Linked DNA regions of Drosophila melanogaster. The protein of the gene in region 2 interacts with the protein of the main gene of each other region in a biochemical or structural test. Each region holds a gene or a part of one and is shown on either strand. Other genes may lie near its edges.

Region 1 (3,758 bases), on a different chromosome or scaffold from region 2:
CCCGTTCGAAGTACCAGTTATGCAGATGGCCCTCGCAAACGGAGCAGCGAAAGCAATCGCAGTGCCATTGCTGGCCGAGAGCCATCACGATTGGCTCCTCTGGATGTGGCAGTAGTTGACCCCGACAATGGGCGCACAATGGTGAGTGTCCTCCGGACACAGGTCCTGATCCTGCGCCCAATCCAGTGCCTCCTCGTCCGCCATTTGCCCGCAGGCGCTGCTGATGATGCATGGAATGTTTTTGTGCCTTGGCCCGATCACGTTAGCACTGTGGGTAAAGAGCAGGGGGGCGGGAGGTTAAAAAAAAGGTATTAGTCGATGACGGAATAGGTATTAAATATAGTAAATATAGACCAGCAGTCACGGAACTTGGCCAATTATCGTCAACAGGTCGATATGAACCAGTGGAAACTAAGCAAATATCATATAGGCAATGTAGGTCTATAAATAAGCTATCTTTACCCATTATCATTAACGTTGAGAAAAAAGATATCTACAATGATATCATACATGAAATGCATTTATTATCAACTAATATAGTATTATATTAGTTTTTCTAACTGATTTAAGTGTTAATGATAGGAAGGTTTGGCATTTTTCAAAACCAATTGCATTCAAAACTCTCCGTGATTTTTTATGATATACTGGGACAGCAATTCGAACTTTATTGCTAAAGCGATAGCCATGTAAATATTTTTGCGTACTAAACAAAATGACCGAACAAAACAAAATAATTGAGTCCGGTAGTCATTAGTTTAGGGTTCAGTGATAAAGACTTCGATCCTGAGTCAGCTGCCCCCCATCGGAATTCGCTATACCGCCTGATTTCCATCATCGATTTGCATGCATAATCCATGGATATATGCATATGGACATACATATGTATATGCAAATACACATGAATGTTTGTGTATTTATGGATATAGCTCAACATTGACCGTGAAAACTCCGGTTGATGCAACAACAAACGCGACTCTTTGGATCAACTGCAATCGCAATTGCACTTCAGCTGAGCTAACTGTAGTTGTTGTGCACGTCCCTCTTCCGACCGCATAAACATGACCAATGAATGACGAATGCACACGCACACACTTGCACGCGCGCACAGTGGTCACATGTGAGCCGTGCGTTAAGTGCAGTCCAAGCTCCATTAGGGGTTAATGTGCCTTTAATCACCTGCTTAACCCATTGAACTTTTACTTTAACCAACCATATCACAGTGCTGTGATTTTGCTTTGAAGAGATTGGAAATGAGTGGGTGTGCCACCCTGACTGAAGTCTATAAAATAGCCAAGACAAGCTAGGTTTACGAATGGAACGAATGGTAAAAAATCAAGTAAGTTTGAGTATTTGTCGCACTAGTCCCGCTAGAAACTAATTCCGTTTAATCAACTATGGTTATCATAACTTGCGGTCCAATTTTTGTTAATTAAGTCAATTAATTCACTCAGGCAATTTGCATATTTTTGGACTCCAAAATTCAGGAATGTGTCCACTGTGCGGAGGCAGAAGCACACACACACACGCGTACAGGTGCTGCACACACACACACACACACACACATGCACGCGCTGTTAGAAAATGTGTGTGGGGGAACGGGAACAACACGACATTAGCAAAGCCAATAGCAACAACAACTGGTTTTTTACTTAGATTTTATTGTTTTTTGCTGGACTTGTACACTAAACTAAACCAAACACACACACACACTTACATAATTGTTCGTTTGTATTGCTATTGACTTGACGCACATTGCACATTTGTTGGTTTTTCCTCGCCAATTTCTTATTCGACTGTAATTCCCGCCAAGCAATTATTAATCGCAACTACCGAAATGCCGCGGATTTTGTTTAAATGCCGACGCGACGCACAGCTCGCTAACTCAAACAATAAAAAAGAAATGCATAATAAACAAAACAACAACAAAACTACACAAAATAAAATACAATTCAGCCAGTGTGACCGTAGGACTGTCATTAAAGAATCTCAAAACTATCGTCTAGCTGCCAATCAACTTAAAAAATATATAAACTCTTTAATGAACAAATTTTTTATTATAAACACGCTGCTTGTCACTAACAAGAAATATTGAACAGAATTGAATATTGAAATAGTTTTTCTTTAATCTTCGAGTGACCGTATATGAGTATGGTTGTAGAAATAATGCGGTCCCATTGAATATATTATTTAACGGAAATTGGGATTTCAAGTGTTTTATATTCAGTTTTTCAAACTTTAATTTAAGTTCACGCATCCCATCTATTTTTAATGAACCCGGTGAATTTAGCGATAATGACAATGAAATACTTTCTGTTTATAACAAAAACAATACTGTCTTCAGCGTTTATTTTATTGTATACTTATTGTTAGCGTCTCTCACCATTTTTGTTTTTGGTCAGTTGAAAACAAAAAAAAAAGTGAAAACATTATAAGAATATTAAATTAAGTGTATAGGGAATCATTCAATTTGCCTAACATCGTCACTATCCTTGCGCTGCGTTTGCCCTGCCACCGAAGCTGCTGCTCCCCACTGTCACTGTTGCTGCGGAAGTTTCTGCGGCAGTTGCAATTGTTGCGGCTGTTGAAGTTTCTGTTGCAGTTGCCTGCTGCTCCTTGACGGCCACAACGTCCTCCACCGCCTGGACTTGCTCCTGGATGTCCCGTCGTTCCTGCTGACGCACCAGCTCAAAGTACAGGCCCCGCTTGCCCATCAGTTCGTCATGTTTGCCGGTCTAAAACAAGGGAAAATATAAATATTTCTGAAGATACCAATGGTCTAGGACAACTCACCTCCACGACGCGTCCCTGATCAAGGACGACAATGAGGTCAGCGTTTCGTATCGTGGACAAGCGATGGGCAATCACCAGAGTGGTGCGATTCTGGACCACTGTATCGAGTGCCTTCTGCACTTCCGCCTCGCTGGTGGCGTCCAAGGCACTCGTCGCCTCGTCGAGGATGAGGATGCGCGGATTCTTGAGCAGCGCCCGTGCAATGGCGATGCGTTGCCGCTGACCGCCGCTCAACTGGGTGCCCCGTTCGCCCACATGCGTCGCATATCCATCGGGCAGGGCGGTCACAAAGTCGTGCGATTGTGATAGACGCGCTGCCGCATACACATCCTCCTCGCCCGCATCTGGTTTACCATATCGGATGTTCTCCAATATCGATGTGCCAAACAGCACCGGCTGCTGTTCGATGAAACCGAGGACATTGGACCGCAGCCAATAGGGCGATATGTCCGACAGCTTGTAGCCGTCCAGTTTGATATTGCCCGCCGATGGTTCGTAGAAGCGTTCCACCAGCGACGCTATCGTCGACTTGCCCGATCCACTGGCTCCCACCAGGGCCACCGTCTGGCCCGGGCGGAGCGTCAGGCTAAAGTCCTTGAGCACCAGCTGTGAATGAAGCAAAAATTGACATAGGAAGTTCATTACTGTTTGCATTGCCTAGACTCTAATCTTTTTATCACTTAGCCGTAAATATTGGCCATAAATGTTTGTGGGTATTATAAAATGGTTATCTACTTGCGGAAGCGATAAGAAGTTATTCAATATTATATAAAAAAGTGGCGAGTTTACAAATTACAGAGCATCGATTAATGTAAATATGCCATCATTGTCTCGAGAATGAAATGAAGATATACTTTAATACAACTCACATGATCGGGTTGCATGGGATATGCGAATGAGACGTTCTCGAATCGAATCTCGCCGTGCAGCCGCTCCTGCGGGATGATGTAGCCGCGCAGCAATTCCAC
Region 2 (3,758 bases):
AATATTGCCTACTTAAAGGAGCATTTACATATGATATGTATTGTTTTCTTCTTAAGCTTCTTACATTTTAAGTCCAAAAATAAGATATGCAAAGTATCTGAAAATTTCGTTGAGTGCACTAAACTATCCAATTTCTAAAGCTTTTCGTCTGTCCCTGGACACGCACTTCATTTTGGGCTGAGCGACCGGAAAACGTCTATTGTTCTGAAAAAGGGGGGAGATGGGCAGACAGAGGCTCTTAATTAGTTAAATGCGGAGAGACAACGAAATCGCTGTGCCAATGAAATGGCTCAGTCGGGCATGAAAAACAGACCGCAGGTGCCCCACACTTTTCCAGTTTTTGAAACTGGGCTGGGGATGTAGACAAAAGGAAAATAAAACTGGCATAATCAATACACAATTTTGCCCTACAAACGAGACGAGAGCGACCCCCAAAAAATAGCCGAAGAAGGAACGACGACGACGTACAGCAATAACAACAACAAAGACAGTAACGCCCCCATGGAGCGCACACACACACACACACCACGAAGCACTCACATACACACAGGCGTATCACACGCACACTTCAAAAGTAAACAAGTGTAATGTGCCGCCAAAAGCACAGACTGCTTGGCTCAGCTTCAAAAAGAGCGGCGGCTTAGGATTGGGGCATTATTTTAGGGGTACTTTCCCAAGTTTCACAGCTTCTTCTACAAAATATACTTGGCAGTAGTTAAGGAGTTATTTTCTAGATCAGTTTTTCTTTTTTTTTACATCTTTGGTTTTCTGTATTTTTTAGTTGGTATTGAATTTAACATTTCTTTATTGTATCGTTTTCAAAATTTATTTAGTTTTTCCATTTAGGGTGTGCAGCAGCGAATAGTAAATCTTAACTCGTATTTGTTGATAATGCTTTAAAGTGATACGAAGAAACCCATTAAAAAACTACCCCTGAATGTGGCCAAGTGTTAATTTATAAAACCAGTTATTCTACCTGCCACCCCAAAAAATTCGAAATTTTGTTTACCAACTCGAGAGCTCAGAAACCGAGAAAAGTGGAAGAGCCGCTCATCTTCAACTGAAATGCAATTGTATCTTTGTATCTCTATCTGTAGCTATGAGTGTGCAAACAAATTTGGTTGAAAGGCTCTTGGCAAATGAAGTTTGTTTTTGTTTGTCATGCTGCTGCTGCTGTTTTTTATTCTCCCCTTTTTGGTTTTGGTCCCACACCCACCCCTCTGGAAATATTATGCTTTGTGTGCACTTCTATTATCACGTCTGCAATTAGAGCCAAAGTAACTGGGCCAAGTTGCAGCTTTCAGCCAGCTTTTCTCGTGCTTGCTTCACGGGGTTGGAGATTTTTTAGGGGTTTATTGCGGCGTTTGCTTTGCTCCACCGATTCGTTGCCGTATTTGCCAGTTGCCCCAGTTCCAATTGGTTACGTACACACTCTCTCACACACACACACTCGCACGCACACTCACTTAATATACACACGCGCTGACGGTAGATAATGCCAGCCCTGGATAAAAACTGGGGCAAATAAGTCCGAATTTTAAATAGGATTTTTGACAGGTGCACTGAATAGCGGATAACTAACCTTTTGCTGCGTTATTCAATTTATTTTTTTTTGTGTTATGTCGAATGCCGAGAGCGCACGAAGATGGAAAACACGACGAAAACTTTCAGGTGCAAGTTTTTCCTGCGCCAGTGTGCGTGTTACATTTCCGGGGGTGCACACTCACACAAACGCACAGCCTGTGACGTAGGAAAATTCCTTTGCACTCGATTCTCTCTTTCCGTACAACGGTAACTATTTTTAACACAGCACTAATAAGCGATTTACACTGGTAATTTTTGGTTATAAAACGATTTTAACTATTTACACTTTTGACTAATTTACGCTATTTAGTTGCATTTAATTTTCAAATTTAAGAAGAGCGCCCTGACGCGTTGTTTTCTTTCCTGATTTTCCCGAGCTGCGGTCCCTTCCGCTCGTCAGCAACGACTGTGATGCCAAAAGTTTTCACTGCTGCCCGCTTTTCCACGAAGCTGCCACTCGCCCGAAGACGCACGACGAAAAATCAATCATTCTCGCTTGTTTTGCTTTCGTGCGATGCACTGTAGGCTTAATGGTACCTTTTTGTGGCCAAAATTAATAACTTTAAATCGGAGAGATATTTTGTTTATGTTATTTGCATTGGGTGACACTAGCCCATATCTTTTATAGTACCAAAAATTCTGGTCGTGGCACCGCCCCTTATATTAAATTAACTCGTTTTTTTATTGAGATTTCTCTATTTTCAGTTTAAATCTCAAGTTAAACATAAGTTTTTGTTTCAGCTAATATACCTAAAAGCGCTATTTACAACACTCAATTACAGAATGGAGTTTTGGCCACAAAAAGGTACCATTCAGCCTATAGTGCGTTGTTTGGAACCCCTTCTGCCATAACAAACCATCCAACGAGCCAATCGATTTATCGATAACTTTACATGTCACTCGTAATTAGCAAGGAAAATAAATAATGGCCCCAATGTTGTAATAATTAAGCTAAGCACAGCAATTATGTGTAATTCAGCCCTATAGAAAATTATATAAAGCGCTATGTTGTCTGGCAACGCCACAGCTGTTTTCATAGCGCAGAAACAACAACAAAGACTGGTCAAAAAGAGCACACACACAAGTGAATTACATAAATCTGCATTACTTACAATAACAAAACAGCTCCAACGATCCAAATGGATATTTGTTTATATCCGCGTTCTTTTGGCAGCAGCACAAACGCACACAACCACGCACATTCAACGACACACGCGCTGCGAATTTGTTATTGTCTTATTGTGTTCTCCTCTTTCTGTTGCGTTTCGCGTTTGGCCAAATCTTTCAAATAATTGCACAAAAACACTGACGAACAACATGCGAAACCACAAAATATACGTGTACGCTGTGTCCTTCTCGCTAATTAAATATTTTACAAAAATATGTTCATGTTTTTGTTTTTTCCCGTGTGTGATATTTTCTACAAATTTTTCTATCGAGAGAACGAAAGCTAATAAGACAAGGAAACGGACGAGACTCAGAATTTCATCGAAATTCGTCGCCTGCTACACGGCGAAGCTTATTATTTCAGAATAGAAGTATTGTTTAAATATTTACCTAATGGCAACAATGGAAACTATTAACAAAAAAATTTAATCTTTCACTGATATGCCCTTATGCCCTTATTACTACAGCGATATACCGCAAGCAAAGTTATCGATATACCACAATACCACAAACAGCTGACACGTTAGAGTTGGGCAACTTCGCTGTTTATTAAGCGGGCTTTTTAAAATCTCTAAAATCATCTTTAATAGAAGGTTGTACATTTTGTCCGTATGTTCTTCTTTATTCTTACTCATACTTCTAAAAGCTTACTCTCAATGGCTGTGATTGGGTAAATCCCAAATTCTTCTTGTGGGAGTGTTGTCGCTCTTCTCTAAACATTGGCAAAAAAATCTCAAATAAATATTACACTTAGAAAATACTACCATTAAAGATATTTATATATAAAAACACCAAAATTATTGTATTTTACTTTTTATTTTCTTGATTAAATCGCCCATTGTTATTTTTAGCTACGATGGCACATACTTGCTTCAACATAGGCTTTAGACTTTAGAATCTGCGATAGCACTTTACGGTGTGTACTTTTTTGCAGTGCACCTTTAACAAACAAGCCTCGACCGGTTCTTGATAAGATTCTCAGATTTTCAAGTCCGAGTTGTCTGACC

What was found. Proteins that work in one complex are often made in the same cells at the same time.
Region 1: of the proteins of orb2 (region 2) and LIMK1, one has a biochemical effect on the other in vitro, tested with the Drosophila melanogaster proteins (one study listed by BioGRID).

Annotation. Positions count from the first base shown.
Region 1 is NC_004354.4:12,590,217-12,593,974, forward strand, and holds the start of LIMK1 (LIM domain kinase 1), read right to left. Parts: upstream 1,978-3,758; 5' UTR 1,715-1,977; intron 269-1,714; 5' UTR 233-268; coding exon 1-232. Other genes in the region: CG1824 (uncharacterized protein), read right to left, coding at 2,484-2,732, 2,791-3,396, 3,660-3,758. UniProt on the Drosophila melanogaster protein: Protein kinase which regulates actin filament dynamics. Phosphorylates and inactivates the actin binding/depolymerizing factor tsr/cofilin, thereby stabilizing the actin cytoskeleton.
Region 2 is NT_037436.4:8,951,237-8,954,994, forward strand, and holds the start of orb2 (orb2), read right to left. Parts: upstream 1,999-3,758; 5' UTR 1,583-1,998; intron 1-1,582. UniProt on the Drosophila melanogaster protein: RNA-binding protein involved in translational regulation and required for long-term memory. Required in mushroom body gamma neurons for long-term memory in male courtship. Binds to mRNA 3'-UTRs.